Rattus norvegicus: one gene and its partners. The main gene of each other region encodes a partner of the protein of the gene in region 2 in a complex. Links are inferred from orthologs where the notes say so. Each region holds a gene or a part of one and is shown on either strand. Other genes may lie near its edges.

Region 1 (6,166 bases), on a different chromosome or scaffold from region 2:
CCATTCTGTCGTGCAGAGAATGGAACCCAGGCCTGTCCCTACCAACCAAGCTATGACTCATAATTGATTTTTCATTCACCCTTAAATTTCTTTTAAAATTATATTTATTTTATCCAATTATTCACGTGTCATATGTGGACCTCAGAAGACAGCTCAAAGCTGTCTGTCTCTTTCTTCCAAGTGGGCCCAAGGGATACAACCAGGGTCCTTAGGCCTTGGCCACAACCTGTTGAGCCGTCTCATTGTGCCCCTCCCCAGAAAGTTTTAAAAGAAAGTTAGCTTAGTTTTCATAGGGCCAGTCAGTCTTCTGTGTTCTGTGGGGATGCACATACACAAATAAAAAATTGAGAGGTGATTTAGAAAACAAAAACAAAATAAAACAAACAAAAACAAAACAAAAAAACCCATGTCTGTGGGTCAGTTCACTCAGTCTTTTTGAAATCCCAAGTCCTAGGGCTGGGGAGATGGCACATGAATCAGGACCTAAGTGTCAATCAAGTTGGCTGTAGTGGCTCACACTTGTCATTCCAGTCCAGGGAGGCGGAGACAGGAGGATCCCTCAAGCTCATTGGCCAGCCTGGCCTACATACTTGGTCCAGGTAAAACGAGAGACTTGTTTATAAAAACCAAGGTGAACAGCATTCACCTTAGTTTACCTCAGGTCTCTACACATTCACACGCACACGTGCGTGTGCACACACACATGCATAGCACCCAATCCTTCGCTATGTCCCTCCATGCTCCAATAGCTCCCATTGTAACCCCACTTTCTTCTCTACTCCTGTTTATGCCTCTCCAGACATAGCCTCAGCTTTCCCTAAGTACAGCAAACATAGTCCCCTGCCTCAGCTTTGCCTCACTACATCAATGCTCCCTTGACCCAGCTTGTGCTGCTGCTTTATTTCAAATGCTCTTTTCTGGGACAGTCTGTCCTTTACACAGGTAAGGAGTCTGCATTCAAAGATCCTTTCTGGGAGCCACTCCAGCTCACAGTCTCTGGAAGTCTCTGAGCTCCCCCAGACTCATTTCCCACATCCCCACCCCCTCTCTTCTATCCAGAGCACGTGTCTAACCCAATCTCATCTTACCTATTGAATGACCAACTTCTAGAAGCCTTTGGACCAAAGACTTACAAGGGAACATTCTTGATTTGTTCACTGCAGCATCTTTATGGACCAAGCAGAGGCAGACACACTAGGGGCTGACAAACTGTGTGAGTAAAAGATAGAGGTGTGTGTGTGTGTGTGTGTGTGTGTGTGTGTGTGTGTGTGTGACTGTTTTCAGAGGTAGAGAGATGGAAGGGAAATTAAAGATGAGGAGGGGTATCCTGAGATGAGGAGAGAGGGGAAGCTGACCCTTGCAGGTGTGCAGGGGACGAGGGCTAAATCTATGAACTCAGATCTATAAACAGGCCTCTCACTTCTTTTACCTCCCACTTTCTGTGAGGGAAATAAAAGGTGGGCAGAACAGAGACTCCCACAGATTGCTGACGTCTTACAGTTGCCAGGGTAAATCTGACTAAGGGCAATGCAGGGGTCACTTAGCCACTGACCACAGAGGTCTCTTGGTGCCCTCTCTTCAGTAGCCCCTGGAGTTCAGCGAGAGGAGACAGGAGGATGGCTACATCCATGGCTGGGGAGGGGGCAGGAGGGCCAGAGTCAATGTCCCTCAGCAAGACTTCCAGAAGTTGATCAAAATGTCTGTGCTGATGTCAGGGAAGTGACGGAACACAGGACAGGGCTTCCAGGTACAGGAGAGAGCCAGGGTTCCTAAGGACCTGGAAGACACTGTGGTCAGAGTGGGACTTTAAGGGATGGAGAGACGACAAGACAAGGGTTTCTCTGTGTGGGCTGAAGGGTTGTGCTAGAGTGGGGGGCTCATGTCATAAGGGCCATCGGTGTGGGGCTTCAAAAAGACTGCTCAAGCCACAAGACTAAGCTGTCAAGTGGAGAAGTCCAAGGCACTGATACCAAGATGAGGCAACACCATCATCTATCTGTAGCATACAAGGCTCTGAGAAGGCAGGCCCATGTCACGCAGCTGATACCTACTCCTCACTTCTCATTTAGGGCTGGCAACATGCTCAGCCTGGCTCCCCCTTTTTCAGACTCCCTGGCAGGGGCCACATGGCCTATGAAGTGCAGATAGAAATGTTGGGAGGAGAGGAATTCTGGGAAATGTTTGCTTTTTCCCTAAGAAGGAAAAGAGCCCCGGTGTTCACACTCTCCCTTCTTCCTGCTTTGGATACAGGGGCAACGTTTGGAGCGGTGGCAGTCATCTTGGGATCACTGGGTAAATAAGTGCCAGCGATAAGGCGTGGAAACGCGTGAGTCCCTCAAAGCACCAGGTAGCTGCACCAGACCTGATCTTGTTACCAAAACCCACCATTTAACCACTTACATCTGAGCACATTTCTAACCACACAGGAGTTAGCTGCCCCTTCCTAACTTAAGAGAAGGCCCCGAGAGCAGACAACCAGGGTTTTGTACTTCCAGCAAGTTTCAAAGAAATTAAACACTAAAGGCCTCACTCTGACCCCCAGTTCCCTTCTCTAAATGGAACTGAAAAGATCAAGGCCTATTAGGAAGGTGGGCAGGGGCGTGGGGGGGGGGCGCACCGTACAGAAGTGTGTTAGGGTTGGGGGCTGGCAGGCCTTGAAAGGGAGTACGTAAGTAAGGGAGGGTGAACGGGTAAGACCACTGCCCAAGCAGGGTCCCTACTCCGAGCTCTGTTCTCTCTCTGGCCGAGAGTCTCTGGGATGCGGGCACGCTGGCAAGTTTATTTATACCGCGTTAGCTCTTTTATGTCAGCCGCAGCATCCATCAAACACTCCTAAAAGGGCCTACCCCAAGCCGAGCCGGCGGATGCAGAAAGCACATCGGCTTCCCTCCGCCATCCAGCTCCCTGCCCCCAAGGACAGTGGAGAGATGGGAAAGGGAGCTTCAAAATCCACGCAGAGGAAGGGACCTGACAGGGGCAGAGAAGCCCAACGTGGAACTGTAAAGCGGTCTCTCCTCGCCCGCCCGCACCTGCTGTCACCACCTCCCCACCCGCCCCCTGGGAGGGGCTCGGCATCCTCCCATCAGGGACGTTGGAATCGGTCCCACGCAGGTCCGCCAGCCCCTTGGAGAGTCTGGTCCACTCCGGCCGAGAGCTTCCCTTCCACCCCCTGCTCGCACTCACGCTCCACGTCATGCAGCTTCGCCCGCTCCTCCTCTAGCTTGCCCTTGAGGCTCTCGGCCTCGCTCTTCAGCGACGCCAGCGTCTCGTTCTCGTGCAGCCCATCGGTTGCCATCTTCGTCCGGATGCAGCCGGGAGAGAAACGCAAAGCGGGAGATTGTGAATCGACGCGGGGGCCCGACGGGAGGGCGGGCGCAGCAGCAGCCTCCGTGACCCCGAACGCCACCCCGGGCCCGCCCCCTCGGCAGTGACGCGAGCGCTGCGGTGACAGACTCTGCTGGCTCCGCCCACCGCGCCCTCCCTGAGAACCGGGCGGGGCGATGCTCGGAGGTGGGACAGTGGGGGTGGGGATGGGAGTTGGGGTGAGAGTGGGGGTGGGTGAGGGTAGGAGGCTAGAATAAACTGAGGCTCGCAGACCACGCTATGGCCCACAAACTCTGGTCTCCTGGCTCCAGGGGTGCTTACTGAAGTCCAACCTATACCGCCCAGCCCTTGGCATCCCGGGGACTTGGGGGCAGGAGGCTTCATACAGGTGCCTCACAGCCCACTAGTTGAAACATTCTTTTAAAAATGAGTTCTGACTGCCTGGGTTCTGGGTTAAGACAACAAAAGCATGAGTCAGGGGCAGACCTTGCTGGGGTCAGGGGCGTCCTCTCTTTTGGAATGAAGGTTTGCTTATGTTTTATTTTATTTCTTTAAGATTTATTTATTATATATGAGTACACTGCCACTGTCTTCAGACACACCAGGAAGAGGGCATCAGATCTCATTACAGATGGTTGTGAGCCACCATGTGGTTGCTGGGATTTGAACTCAGGACCTCTGGAAGAGCAGTCAGTGCTCTTAACCGCTGAGCCATCTCTCCAGCCCTGCTTATGTTTTATTGACCTTAACAATTTGATGACTCCAGTGGCTCCTCTGCAGCTACACTTCACTGGGCTAGGTTCCTTGGTGACACTTTCAGTGCTCACCTGAGTCGCTGTGAAAGGAATCCCAGACACCCCACCTCCCACCCCACCTCCAAGCTATTTTTGCAGAGTAGGGACAAAAGGCCGTGAACACTCAGTGTCACACTTCCAGGAAGAGAAGAAGGCAGGGTTAGGACCCGGGCAGTTCAGGTTCACTGATAGGCTCTCACTTAGGCCTTCTCCCTTTTCTCCATGACCTTTAGGATGGGAAGGAGGACCAAGTTCACAAATTCTGGGCTGAACACTGCAGAAGCAGTCTCCAGTGCTGGCCTGTGTGTGTGTGTGTGTGTGTGTGTGTGTGTGTGTGTGTGTGCACGTATGCATCTGTTCTGGGCCTTCTCAGTCTGAGAAAGTATTGTATTAATGTACACATACCTGTGTTTTAGGCAAGATTCTGGGAGTCTCCATTTCCTTATCTGGAAAAGTCTGCATCCCAGGGCTTTCTGAGAATTAGATGCTGGGGAGGAGACTGGAGGATACCTCTCTGTCAGTTGCTTCTCCTTTCTCTTCAATAGAGGGTTATCCACCACCCATTTTCATTCCCTATGCCTCTGTCTGTCTGTCTTTGTCTCTGTCTCGGCCTCTCTCTGTGCTCCCCTTCCCTGCTCTCCCCCACCCTTCTGTCCATGTCTCCCTCTTTATAGCCCTGGCTTCCCTGCAGCACCCTTTGTAGAGCAGGCTGGCCCAGAAGTCATGTTGCTCAATCTACCTCTGCCTCTCGGGTGCTGGGATTAAACATGTGCACTGTCATGCCTGGCACCTTATCCATCGTTTTAGCCTCAGAATTTAGCAGAACGTTGGCTTATGGAAGCGATGAGCTTATGCTCACTTACTAAATGGATAAACCAGGCTACATACGTTTAAGTGTATATGCATATAATGTGTACACACACAGAGTCAAGGGTTGGGGCGATGGCTCAGCAGTTAAAAATACCTAATGTTCTTCCAGAGGACCCAGTTTTTCTTCCCATCACCCATGTGGTGGTTCACAATTCTTAATAATGTTAAGTTCCAGGGAATTCAGTGCCCTGATCTGGCTCCATTGACACCAGGCATGACATGGTTCACAGACATATATGCAGGCGAGCCTCTCATATACATAAAATAAACACATATTTTGATCTAAAATTTAAGGATTTATGTATTTATTTTTATGTCATGTATATGGGTGTTTTGTCTGTATGTATGTCTGTATACCACACGTGCAGTGCTCCAGTTGGGCTATCAGGAAAGGGTGCAGTACCACCTGTTACCAGATGGGGGCACTGGTGAGCCATCGCTTTGCGCACAGCCCGGTGGATCTTCTAAGACAGGGACTAAAGATTCCCAGGGCTGAATACACTTTTTCAGTGATAATCCGAAGCCTGGGGTAGCTTTGGGGAGGGCAAGATTTGATGTACTTTGAGAAAGTAAGTCGGGATTTCTGTTCAGTTTCTGCCCTGCCCAGTGGGTGGGCTCAGGAGCTCTGGAGTTTGGTTTGGCTCTCTGCTTAGGCAAGATCAGCCAGGCCATCCAAACAGCTAAAGAGGAAGCTTGGACAGGTCCCCTGGGATTGTTTGTCTGCCAGAATTTCTTCTAGCTTGGTGGCTCGTTAGGCAGGCTGGGAGGAGACAGAAGCAAAAATCATTAGCCCCTCATGAGGAGTGTTTTGGACACTTTGCCCTGATCTCACATGACCCTCACAAAGCCTCAAAGTCCAAATCTGTTAGCATTTCAATCTCACCAGTGGGAAAATCGGCCTCAGGAAATTGGTGACAACGGGAGCCCCTACAGCCTAGGATAACCTGCAGGCCAGGATGCCAGGCGGACAGCACAGTCTTCTGGGGTCTGGGAACGCGTCCTACAAACCTTCTCTGTGTAACTTGTCTGCCGCAGGCTTGCATAGACACCACGTTAAGGCAAGGAACTTAAAAGAACGAGATGAAAGGAAAATAGAACTCACGATCTCTGCACATGGGGAGCAGTAGTTGAGTTGTTGAGATTTCTTGAAGACGGGCCGTAGGGCTCTTTGTTTGAAG
Region 2 (6,266 bases):
ATATGAAAAGCTGGCATCCACAGGGAAGTTACCAAGTGGAAGCCTACTGTGCTGCGAAGGCCCCACAAGAGCAAGAGTCCTGGTGCTCGGTTGCCTGTGTGTGCACACATAGACCATTTCACACAACGGCTAGTGAATGATAATGAGCCAAAGTGCTTGTGACCTATCTGGTCTTATTAATGAATCATTACTTATGACACACACACACACACACACGCACACGCACACGCACACGCACGCACACGCACACACACGCACACGCACACGCACACACACACACACGCACGCACACACACACACACACACCACAAACTTACACACATACAAAAATTGTTCAGACACTATGGCTGGGCATTAAACCTATTATTACACCATTACACATAAGACTTACTGAACTTGGTTATTTTTTTTCTCAGTCATGTTTTATCAGGCAATTTCCCCGCTGAACAAAAAGCTAATCAAGTCATTAGTGGTCTTAAGCTCAACCAGAAATAATGTTTTAAAAAAAAGGAAGAAAGAAAGAAAGAGAGAGAGAGAGAAAGAGAGAAATGGAAGGAAGGAAGGAGGGAAGGAGGGAAGGAGGGAGGGAGGGAGGGAAGGAAGGAGGAGATGTTATTGAGAGGCAGAGTCAGGAGAGTGGTTGCAGGTTAAAATCTAGCCAGAACTACATAGTCTCGAAGGACAAAAAGTTAGATTCCATAAAATCTCCATGAAACATACAAGTTTACATTTAAAACTAACAGTGATTTGAAACTATAAAAGTAAATTTATAATGTAAATTCAAACTTAGTAATCTGAGAGTTGGTACAGCAAGCACTCAAATAATGACATCCAAGCTGTCTGTCGATTGTTTATAGGCAAACAGGAAAAGAATCCAGCTGTGTGGCTTAACAAACGTAACTTGCTACCATAACTTCCCCTCGGAAGTACAGCTCCCCATACTGCATAAACTCCTAGGACAGATTTTTTTTTAAATCCTCACATCTTTCATGTTACAACATTCAAAGTCATACCACATAAAATAAAATCAGTTACTAAGTACCCAACTACCGCCAGAATATTCTTCTCCTCTAGACCAGCTCTATATGTAAAATACGTGAGCACAGTTACTTCATTCAGTGTCCGGATGTAATAGCAATGACTTAGGTTCAAGTGCATGATAGTCTTAATTCATCTATTTGGATAAAATGATGGAAGGAGTCAGCTAGTCCCTTATTTTTCTTCCCCTTCTTTCTGTGATGTCTCAGACACATCTGGCTGCATTTACACGTATACAGAATAGCACCATTCACAGGCTACAGGATAAGCAGTTGGTATTGTGTCCGAACATCATGCATCTGCTTAGAGTGGTATCGATATCCCCCCAGCACAATCCTGACTGCCTTCTAATGCCTCTGGGGCACACAGGTAAAGTTAGGATTTCTGCATGGGTTAAGGCAAGCACACAGCCTTTCCTCTGTCTTCACAATCAGCTCAGTCTCACAGATCTACACTCACAGTGAATCCAGTGGACTCCCGCTCATCAAAACCCTTAATAACATTCCTGACCTCAGAGAAGGATTTCCACTTGCTGTTGTCAGTGCCAACTAATGAAACCCGAGCCATGACACGCCCCAGGTAATACGCTTAAGAAAAAAAAAAATAACCCCAGTAAAAACTACAAAAGGAGAAACCAATGCAGAAGTTATGCAAAGAATACTGCCTCCTTAATTTTAGCAAACGTGTTGATTATAACCATGTTGAGGTTACCTAAGCAACCATCCTGAAACACATGCAAAACCCAAACGTAGATCAACGTCTAGAAGTACGAAAACATGGCAGAAAACAGTTAGATGCGTTTGCAGAAGGGGAATAGGGACTGTACAGATTATCCCAGGGATGTATGACACTATAGCACAGATGCTATAGATAACGTCACGGAAATAATGCAAGGTAAGAAATTAGGTTAAGACCAAAAGAACCAGAGTCATCTAGCCGTGAGCAAACTGGTGAAAGCTTACACATCCACGGATACAGTCATTCTCGCCGGAGACCTGTAAAGCCATCGTTTAGTTTCCAAACTGCAGCACACTCAAGACATTATTAAACCTAAATGTTTCGAAAATACCGTCTGAAAGAGTCGCAAGGGATGGTATTAAATCTAGTGGAACAGCACAATACAATGAATAGCCAAACAGTGTAGATGCTAACAACAGGTGACTGTAACGGTCAGCAAGGAATGTGCAAGGTCTATTTTACTTCCTGTCACTTGGGAACATCTGATCGTCCTTTAGCAGAGTACATAGTCACTGATGCTCTGGGAGTTCACGAAGTTGATAAATACTCGGAGCCAGACAAAAGAAAGAAGAAAGAGGAAGGAAGAAGAAAAAATGAAAGATAAGGAGAGAGAAAGAAGAAAAGAAAGAAAGGAAGGAAGGAAGGAAGAAAGAAAAGAAAGAAAGAAGGAAAGAAAAAAGGAAAGAAAGAGAGAAAAAAGAAAGGGAGGAAGAAAGGAAGCTGAAGTTCCCCTTTTTCCAGGGAGGTGAAGGACTCTTACCTTTCTGTACACCAGCATGTTCGGTGATTCCTCTGCCACCCCATTGCTGGTCTGGCCATAATTATTCCCCTGAGCCATTTCACACAGAACTTGGTAGCTCAGATACAAGGATGATCAGTCTGCCCTGCAAATGATTAGAGAGCCTCTGGTGAGATCCTGGTAGGAGCCCTGGAGGGAACAGACCCCCCCCCAACACACACACACACACACACACACACACACACACACACACACTCATCTTCATGTTCACAGTACCCAACCCATGGGGAGAAATTTTTTTCATTCCTGGGCTGACTGGAGAACACAGGACATGGACTTTAAAAAAGAAAGAAAGAAAGAAAGAAAGAAAGAAAGAAAGAAAGAAAGAAAGAAAGAAAGAAAGAAAAACGGAAGGAGTTTACATCTATAGTAGCCCCAGGAAATTTCAACAGACAACCTTCCAGTTAGATACAGTCAACTGGCTAAGGTTTTGTGGACTTCATTTTGTGAATACTCTCTTTTTAAAAGTGTTAGGTACTCACTTTTTAAAAAACCCATGGATGGCACTTTCCTAATACCCACAGCTCTCTCTGGATACTTGCTGCTCACTTGATGCGGATCTCCCCAAAGGGTAGAAAGCCAACACCCACAGCAGCAGCCCACTTTCTCCTCCTATCCTGCTAGTTTCGCATGACGGGAGCATCAGAGGCCCCTTCCCCACAAGTGTTCTCTGGCACACGTTTCCTCTCCATGCCTCGGGTTCCCCACACAGCCTGGGCATAGGCTTTTCCACTTTCACCTGCCTTCACTGCTAGCCCATGGCTCCTCTGTGCTGCCACCTCACTCAGCGCGCTAAGTCTGGACCTAATCCTGACTAATCTTTGGAAGAAAGCATCCAAATTAGGTCCAGGCAACCCGAGGCTGGTGGGAAGTCAAGCCTTAGGCAATCACCTGGCTCACCTCAGAGAGCAAGCTAACTGCACAAGCCTGGAGCAATCGGCCAGAAGAACAGAGAAATCTGGGTCCCATCTCATCCTGCTCAGCCCTTGCTCTCGGCGGCAGCAAATGGCAGGCTGCCTTGCCCCGCATCCAGGCACTGGCCACACCGGGCAGCAGTTTCAGCACCGTGGACCGCGGCGTGCGCAGCGCCCCAGCCCGGCCGAGCGCGCCGCTCTTTGGGGACTGTGGCTCCCGCCGTCGCAGGGCGAGGACCGGGTGCGGGGCCGGGGGTCCCAGGGACTCCGGGTGGCGCCGCCTCCTCCCCTCCCACCCTCTCCGGTTACCTCCTCGGCCAAGGTCACGGCCCCGCGGTTCCCCTCCGGGCGTGCTGAGGGCAGGCGCTGTCAGCTGGCTGCGAGCGGAGCAGTGAGGCAGGGCAGCCTCATCACACTCGCGCTGCTCAGGCCACCGCCACCCTCGCGGTGCACAGGCGGCCCTGGCAGCCGCCGCTCGCGCCCGCTCCCCCGGGCCGCCTCGCTCGTTCCCTCCTCCGCTTCTCCTCCCGGGGACTGGGACCAGTCGAGCGCGCGCGGGAGTCGAGACGCCCGACCCGTGCGCGCGCGACTGGGAGGAGGGAGGAGGCGACAGTCACGTGGGACAGGGACGCCCGAAGGTGCCGGCTCGGACGGGCTCGGCTCTGCCGCCGCCACACCCCTGGGTCTCCCCGGCCTCCCGACCCCGCAACCCCTCCGGAGCACAGGCCCTGTCCCCCGCGCTGGCTAACCCACGCTCCTGCGCCCCGCCCGCGCCGCCGCAGGCCTGGAGAGCAAAACTGAGCTAAGCAGGAGGAAGGGCTTGGCAGAGGGTGGGTGGATGGGTAGGTGGGTGAATGGGTGGGTGAGTGGGTAAATGGATGGTTAGATTAAAGCCCCCTGCCGCTGGCAGCTCTACACCGTGCTCCTGGCGACCCTGCTGGCACAACTAGGGAAGCAAATGATTGATAATCTTCTGCTTAAGTAACAGCAAAGAGAGATGCTGGAATATCCCAGAATTGAAAGCAATGGCCAGGACCGAGTGACTCTTTGCAGGCCCCCCTCTTCACCCCGGTCCTGTTTGCCGGTGGCTTTTACTGCCTCCTCTTAAGTTGGAAAAAACCAGGAAAGAATTTGGAGGCCTGGACCAAGAGGGAACAATCTCACCACCTGTGACATTGAAGGATTATGGCTGACGTCTGGCTGGTTTAACCTACTGGGCTCAGAGAAACTTGTCTTTAGTCCTTGTCCTCCACCGGAGTTCACAGAAGGGTTACTGATACCCCTGCATCCCAGGAACTCTTCGGGTTCCTGCCACTAATTTCTCAAGGGTTAGGAGGACATTAAAGAGGAAAGTGTTTGTCCTCCTGAAACGTACCCAGCTTTCTGGGACATTAGGAAGTTGTAGGAATCTGAGACTCTGAGGCTTCCTCTGTAGCTGCGGATCAAAGATGATTTAGCCAGTGTGATTTTGTTTGTTTGTGGGACTAAACATAGGGTCTCTGTCAATGATCCGAATCCCACTCACCACCCTTTCTGCCAACACATTTTTTTTCCCATAAATAATGTCTACCCAGCCTGGCCTTAAACTCAGTTTAACCCAAACAGACCTTAAAATTCAACGTTCCCCTGCCCCAGCCTCCCAAGCAGCTGGGATTACAAACCTGTGGCACTAGGTTTGCCTAGCCAGAGCCCTCTGTAGCTGCTTGTCAAAGCAGGGTGAAACTTAGTACATAGAGACTGCTATTCAAATATCTCTGAATACCAGTCACTTTCTGGCCTTGCCCAGGCTCTTTCGGGTGTCACTCAAAATAATAAATATTTGTCTACCCCTACCCTTGTTCTGAATACTACATGCTTATTTTCCCAGTCCCCCCAAATATTTCTATTGCTCAGCAAAATTCTCTGTTTCCAGTGTCTTCTAATAGCTCCTTGGTATTCTTATCCTAGCTGAAACCAGCGGTTCTGCCTTCAGCCCCCTCCTTCCCTTTCTTCCCCTTGCTATTCTACTGTGTGGATGGATACTCTTGTGTTTTTAGATGGATGGATACAGAAAGAGGCATTGGGTGTGCTCACCAGTTTGTCCTAAATGAAATGGCCTGAAGGAGCCTGTAAGGATAGTTACAGTTGCCAGGAAAGAACTAAGGAAGAAGATTCAATTCTGGAGACAACTCATAACTCGGTCAGTCATTTATCGCCTATGAATTTCCAGGACTCACATTCTTCAGAGTTAAAGTCGAGGAAATAGCCTAGTGTCTTAGTCAGGGTTTCTATTCCTGCACAAACATCAGGACGAAGAAACGAATTGGGGAGGAAAGGGTTTATTCAACTTACACCTCCACATTGCTGCTCATCACCAAAGGAAGTCAGGACTAGAACTTACGCACCGCAGGAAGCAGACACCAATGCAGAGGCCATGGAGGGATGTTATTCACTGGCTTGCTTTCCCTGCCTTGCTCAGCTTGCTTTCTTGTAGAACCCAAGACTACCAGTACAGGGACAGCACCACCTAAAAGGGGCCTCCCTGCTTGATCACTAATTGAGAACATGCCTTACAGCTGCATCTCATGGAGGCATTTCCTCAAGGGAGGCTCCTTTCTCTGTGATAACTCCAGCTGGGGTCGAAGTGACACACAGAACCAGCCAGTACCCCTAGATATCACCAAATCCATCTGTATCTTATATTTTAACATTCTCATGATTCTCAACTGTCACTCAAATTAATTTTACTATTTTCTCTATGAACCATATATGTTGCAATATTTTTGTTAAACCAATTA
Region 3 (6,008 bases), on a different chromosome or scaffold from region 2:
ATGATAAATACCTTCCTTTTAAATTAGATACAGAAGACATTTAAATAATTTTAAATGTTCTATAAGTTTCCTAAAATAGTCACTGAGGAAATTACATTTAAGTTTTTAGATAGCTAAATAAATGCAAAAACAGAGAATACCATGACAAATTCAAGAGAAACTCCATCTGTAATTATTGCCACATGTGATATAACAGACTAATAAGCTGAAATTACTTCTACTTAGCATATGTTGCAAAGAAAGATTTAGACAAAAAGTCAGATATTATGCTGGCTAGTTTGATGTCAACTTACCCCTAGGCTAGAGTCATCAGAGAGGATGGAACCTCCAATGAGGAAGTGCTTCTATAAGATCAGGCTATAGGCAAGCCAGCATTTCCTTAATTAGCGATTGATATGAGAAGGTCTAGACCATTGTGGTGGTGCCATCCCTGGGCTAATTGATGGTTATGGGTTCCATAGAAAGCAGGCTAAGCAAGCCAAGAAGAGAAAGCCGGTAAGCAGCATCCCTCCATGGCCTCTGAATGAGCTTCTGCATCAGGTTTCTGCCCTCTTTCTGTTCCTTCCTGTCTTCCTTTGATGATAGATTGTGATGTAGAAATAATCTATTTCCTCCAAAACTTGCTTTTTTGGTCATGGTGTTTCATCACTGCAATAGTACTCCTAACTAGGACAGATATAAGCACAGAATCTACTTATAAGTAAATACAAATCAAATAACTATATTGTTAGCATAATCACAAAAATGTATTAGGAAACCATATATAACAGCTGAGAAAACTGGTTGCTAAGTCCTATCCCAAAAGCCTTCATCCCTGGCTCGCTGAGCAAAACTCTTCTCATGAGAAAAGGATAGCTAGGTTTATCACCATCTAATTCCTTCACTAATTACCAAGTATATAGTGAGAGCCTACTGTACAGTGCCAGCAGTGTTCTAGATATTCAGTGTACCACCATGATTGTGACTGGGAAGATATTTCTTGTTTTGTCTCTTACATCCCAGTACTTAGACGTTGTTATTACTTGATGTGGATAGTGCTCCAAAGACTCTTTCACTGGAAGCTTTGTCCTCAGCGTGGACGTGTTAATACGGTAAAACTTTAAGAGGTGGGACCTAGTAGAAGGCAATTAGTTTGTGGGGTCTCTACTCTCACTAGTGGATGAATGCTTCATGCTGAGAGTCAGTAGGGCTTTGTGCGACTAGATTGTCATAAAAACCCTGTTTAGTCCTCCTCTCGATGCCAATTGGCTTCTCTCTCCCTCCTCAATATATTACTGAGCATCATACTGTCTTCCATGCTCTCCAGAAGGCCATCACCAGTCACCCAAATCAGGGACCACCTGATCTTGGACACCCACTGTGCAAAGCTAAGAGCTAAACAAACATTTTTCCTTACTTATCAGTATATAATGATAGAAACCCAGAATAGCCTAAGGTATTTTCTTGCCAGAACAAAATGATATATAGTACAGTAAGTCTCTTGGACTGGCATGAGTGACACTATTGTTAGTTGGGGACTAAAATAAACCTGGGATTTTCTACATGTGTCTTCTTGAGGAATTCGAAAGTGGAGGCCCACTTGGAAAGTGCAGATGCAACAGGGAAATGTCACAGGAAACTTCAAGTGATACACCCAGGTGGCTTAGGGGCCCTTCCCAATTCTTTAAGGAGCTGACACATCTCTGGAGCCCTCCCTTGAAGTCTGAGCTGTTTTTCATCAATTCCAGTAACTCACCGACAGTGACTTTGTATCCCACACACACTAGGGATTCACTCGTTTTCGTCCTCATTCTCTCACAGTCTACAACACGCAATTCTTGGTCATGTCCCCTCTCCACACATCTTTATTGTCAGAGCTCCGCTTTCATTCTGGCTCCGAAGAAGAGGATTCCTTAAATATGACATTTATTTTTCCTTGACGCTCAGCCAGTAGATGTCTCCATTACTCTCTCACAGCTAAGACCATCATTGGAAGGCCAGGTTTAATCATTTCCTTAACCGACAATGAGGAAGAGAATTTGATAATTTGCCTAAAAAAATGAGCAGATGCTAAGAAGGACACGTTTCCATCCTACGTTCCCTCCTCCCCAGTTTCAGTCAGAAATGAAAACTACTCTCTTCTCCCTCTTTTCCAGGCAAAAGGAAGGGCTGATCTAACTAAGCAAGCCAGATGCCTACAGCCTCCTCCTGCTCAGTAGCCCAAGTTTCCTTCGCTTTCAGCCACCAAAAGCGCCGCTTCTCTCCTCTTTCCCGCCCACTCCTCGCCACCCCTGCAGGTTTCCGAGTCATCAGGGAACACGAGTGGGTGAAAGCAGCGCCGCCGCCTCCTCCTCCGCCTCCTCAGTGCGCCTCGGGTTCAGCACTGGACAGCTCCCGCCCCAGCCAACAAATGGCAGTCAGCTGATTGACAGAGGCGCCGACCAAACAGGGCACAAGACGACTTGAAGCCGCCCTAGAAGGGTTTGGTTGCGGCCAAGCTGTCTCTTTAAACTGGTTTCATCTGAGAGCAGGGAGAGGCAGCGGTGCGGTTTGTGGTAAGGGCTCCAGTTAACCAGCTGCCTGGCAGTCTGGACTCCAGAGACACAAACGTCTTCAAAGAAAACCTGGGTTCCTTGGGACTCGCCGCTGAGCTCGCGGCGTGGATCTGTGTGCGCGCTTTCATCTCGGGGCGAAAGGGTCGAGGAGGGGCCACAGCCAGGAGGCGGGAACGACCTGCCAAGGGTGAGATGATGGAGCAGCGTCTTCAGTGGCCGCGGTGGCAGCATCAGCAGCATCAGCAGCATCAGCACCAGCTCTTGAACACACCTCAATGAGAGCGGCGGTGGAAGCGGCTGAGCAGAAAGACGTAAGCCGGCTAACTATAGCTGCCGGGGATGTAACCTGTTTGGCTCAAGGCTGCGAGGTGCGTAATCCCGAGCCGACCCATTGTGGAGCGGGACACAGCCAGCATTGCCACAGGTGATTTGGGTCTGTGACGGCAGCTGAACCAGCTGGGCCAATTTCAAAACATTCTTATTTTAAAGTCCATCTGGACTGGGCTCCACCTGGAGAAGGAAGCCTCTCCCCCAAAAGTCTTACTGGTGATAAATTAAGGACCGAAATTTACAAAGTGACTCCTCCGGTTATCTCCTCTCTTCTGTGCTAGACAGATGGGAGCCATGGCTTACTCTTTACTCCTCTGCCTCCTGCTCGCTCATCTGGGATTGGGAGAGGTTGGTGCCAGCCTCGACCCTTCAGAACGGCCAGATTCTTCTCGAGAGAGGACTTCGAGGGGGAAGCAGCACGGTCAGCAGCTGCCGCGAGCCTCTGCCCCGGACCCCTCTATTCCCTGGAGCCGCTCCACAGACGGCACCATCTTGGCACAAAAACTAGCCGAGGAGGTGCCCATGGACGTGGCCTCTTACCTCTATACTGGGGACTTCCACCAGCTGAAGAGAGCCAACTGCTCAGGCCGCTATGAGTTGGCGGGCCTGCCGGGGAAGTCACCGTCCCTAGCCAGCTCCCATCCTTCCTTGCACGGGGCGCTGGACACTCTGACACACGCCACCAACTTCCTCAACATGATGTTGCAGAGCAATAAGTCTCGGGAGCAGACCGTGCAGGATGACCTGCAGTGGTACCAGGCTTTGGTGCGAAGTCTCCTGGAGGGAGAGCCCAGCATCTCCCGGGCGGCCATCACCTTCAGCACCGAGTCGCTGTCCACGCCCGCCCCGCAAGTCTTCCTCCAGGCCACCCGTGAGGAGAGTCGCATCCTGCTGCAGGACCTGTCCTCCTCCGCTCACCACCTGGCTAACGCCACTCTGGAGACCGAGTGGTTCCACGGGCTTCGGCGAAAGTGGAGGCCCCACTTGCACCGCCGCGGCTCCAATCAGGGGCCACGGGGCCTGGGCCACAGCTGGCGGCGCAGGGATGGGCTTGGCGGGGACAGGAGCCATGTCAAGTGGTCTCCACCTTTTCTGGAGTGCGAGAATGGGAGTTACAAGCCCGGGTGGCTGGTCACTCTCTCTGCTGCCTTCTACGGGCTTCAACCTAACCTGGTCCCGGAATTCAGGTAGGAAGAGGGTTGGATAGGGCACACACAGAGTCATCTTTTGGTTTTGTAAATAGGCACTCTGGGGAAACACACTTGTCTGCCAGTGAGACTTAAGTCTCCAGCCTTGGAACAGAACTTCAGACTAAGAGAAGTCCAGGCGAGCTCATGCGCGGAGGGGTGACAAATGCCCGGTCTGTCTGCTTTAGGCACTCACGGAAAGCCATTCCCTGGTGTGCAGCGGCAGCGGGGCTTGGGGGATGTAGCAATTGGTCTCAATCCTTCCATAGCACAAGGGGAGAAGGTTAACAACTCTGTCCCCGAACTTTGGGAGAGCTTGGGCTGTGCCCATCAGAGTCAAGAACACCAGTTGTGCGTGTGAGTATGTGTGTGTGTGTGTGTGTGTGTGTGTGTGTGTGTGTGTGTGAGAGAGAGAGAGAGAGAGAGAGAGAGAGAGAGAGAGAGAGAGAGAGAGAGAGAGAGAGAGAACTACAAGGATACAAGGAGTGAGAATTCCTTGAATCTGTCACTTTGGGATAGCCTCTGCCCACTTCCTGTGAGTGTAGTCTGGAGCGCAAGCCTGCTGTTAGTCAGCTACCAGAGCGTGTAATTAAACCTGTGCCATCCCCTGGGCAGTTCTGGCCACTCAGCACTGAGTCACTCAGCAGCAGAGCCATCTCCAGGATCCAGAGTACTCCTATTGGCTTCCCCCCTTCTTCTCTAGTCATCAGCTTTCCTTCCTGGTGTCTTCCTCCTCCTGTTCTCCTTAGGCACAGCTGAAGGTTCTCCATGAGAGTTGGGGAGGGAGGAATCAGTCTCACCCAAACAGGAAACTAGGAAGAGACTTTAGTAGCTCTCCCGATGGCGTCATAGGAAAGCTCTCACTCTCAGATTAGAACTGTTACCCATCAGCTCCACAGTGAGGGACTTCTAGAAGTAGCCTTTCAGGGATGGATGCAAGGAAGGAATGGAGGGGAGGGAGGAGAACCTGCAGAGAGGGATTTGGAGAGAACTGATGTTGATGGGGTTTACCAGAGACCCCGATGGGAAACTGCAAAGAACCAGAGGGGGGTTGGAATTGATATATATATATATATATATATATATATAATATATATTTATATATATTATATATATAATTATATATATATATATTTAATTATTTATTTATATATATTATATATATATATTATATATATATATATTTAATTATTTAACATTTTTGAGATTTGGAAAAAGCGATCTCTCTCTCTCTCTCTCTCTCTCTCTCTCTCTCCCTCTCCCTCTCCCTCTCTCTCTCTCTTTCTCTCTCTCTCTCTCTCTCTCTCTCTCTGTGTGTGTGTGTGTGTGTGTGTGTGTGTGTGTGTGTGTGTGCATGTGCTTGAACATACCAGGGCAAGCAATGGGTAGGAAATCCCAGGAAAGTAGAAGCACTGCCTCCGATGAAGTTGTTTAACCTCGCTGGGCCCCGGGCACTTATCTATCAACTGAGAGAATCGAAACAGTTTGTCTCTAGGGAAATACACAGTCATAAAATCCTGTAGCCTTTATTTCCTGCCAGCTTGAAACGGCACAGATGAAGACCCCCCTTTCTTCTTTGTTTCTGCATGAACCCCTACGTGTGTTTATGGTTCTTTTAAAGATCCTACCTTAAACTACAGCAACTTTCCTACTTTCAGGATAATCTCATTTCCTCCTGGTTCTTCCAGGATCCTAGTAGTAAACGTGTCAGACCAGCTTCAAATCCTTGCCACAGCGTTTTCTTACAAGAGGGCCCAGCAGATGCCACTTGGAGCCCATGAACCATGGCTGTTAGATGATACCTTTTAGAGTCTCAGGATCGACCTCTCTCCCTTCTTTTCTCTCTCTCCTTCTCTCCTCTCTTCTCCCTGTTCCCCATCTTCCCCAACTGGCTCTGTCTCACTTTTGCTTGATGTTAGTCTATGTGCTGTATACTTGATGGTAAGTTCTGTGTTGA

What was found.
Region 1: the proteins of Rgs7 (region 2) and Gnb5 are in contact, whole or in part, in a cryo-EM structure (PDB 7EWP), measured with the Homo sapiens proteins. The link is inferred for Rattus norvegicus from reciprocal best matches to the Homo sapiens genes RGS7 and GNB5. Residues at the interface, in NP_001351815.1 of Homo sapiens: Pro19, Leu22, Val23, Lys26, Val30, Ile72, Val76, Glu77, His80, Leu81, Leu84, His88, Val207, Asp213, Ile214, Lys215, Lys216, Leu258, Gln261, Ile262, Trp265, Gln266, Gln268, Leu269, Arg271, His272, Arg273, Leu274, Lys275, Met276; in NP_057278.2 of Homo sapiens: Leu57, Glu60, Ala61, Glu62, Leu64, Lys65, Leu68, Glu71, Lys74, Leu75, His76, Asp77, Val78, Glu79, Leu80, Val83, Leu90, Phe93, Arg98, Arg99, Leu109, Lys117, Arg118, Ser134, Phe135, Trp149, Met151, Leu167, Tyr197, Ser206.
Region 3: the proteins of Rgs7 (region 2) and Gpr158 are in contact, whole or in part, in a cryo-EM structure (PDB 7SHF), measured with the Homo sapiens proteins. The link is inferred for Rattus norvegicus from reciprocal best matches to the Homo sapiens genes RGS7 and GPR158. Residues at the interface, in NP_001351815.1 of Homo sapiens: Gln35, Ile43, Ser55, Arg109, Phe110, Thr112, Pro113, Tyr114, Phe115, Lys134, Thr136, Lys140, Ala141, Arg142, Leu143, Leu145, Ala146, Asp147, Ala150, Leu153, Gln157, Trp164, Phe168, Met169, Gln170, Glu172, Ala173, Gln174, Lys176, Val177; in NP_065803.2 of Homo sapiens: Leu507, Lys508, Phe510, Leu511, Arg513, Thr514, Tyr595, Tyr598, Ala599, Thr602, Val603, Pro604, Ile714, Arg715, Leu718, Lys719, Tyr722, Leu725, Glu726, Tyr728, Lys729, Arg730, Met733, Ile734, Thr735, Asn736, Asn737.

Annotation. Positions count from the first base shown.
Region 1 is NC_086026.1:84,953,865-84,960,030, reverse strand, and holds the start of Gnb5 (guanine nucleotide-binding protein subunit beta-5), read right to left. Parts: upstream 3,403-6,166; 5' UTR 3,296-3,402; coding exon 3,184-3,295; intron 1-3,183. UniProt on the Homo sapiens protein: Enhances GTPase-activating protein (GAP) activity of regulator of G protein signaling (RGS) proteins, such as RGS7 and RGS9, hence involved in the termination of the signaling initiated by the G protein coupled receptors (GPCRs) by accelerating the GTP hydrolysis on the G-alpha subunits, thereby promoting their inactivation.
Region 2 is NC_086031.1:89,937,037-89,943,302, forward strand, and holds the start of Rgs7 (regulator of G-protein signaling 7), read right to left. Parts: upstream 4,015-6,266; 5' UTR 3,799-4,014; intron 3,720-3,798; exon of another isoform or gene 3,476-3,719; intron 3,419-3,475; exon of another isoform or gene 3,058-3,418; intron 2,661-3,057; 5' UTR 2,615-2,660; coding exon 2,537-2,614; intron 1-2,536. UniProt on the Homo sapiens protein: GTPase activator component of the RGS7-GNB5 complex that regulates G protein-coupled receptor signaling cascades.
Region 3 is NC_086035.1:88,740,377-88,746,384, forward strand, and holds the start of Gpr158 (metabotropic glycine receptor precursor), read left to right. Parts: upstream 1-2,446; 5' UTR 2,447-3,149; coding exon 3,150-4,051; intron 4,052-6,008. UniProt on the Homo sapiens protein: Metabotropic receptor for glycine that controls synapse formation and function in the brain. Acts as an atypical G-protein coupled receptor that recruits and regulates the RGS7-GNB5 complex instead of activating G proteins.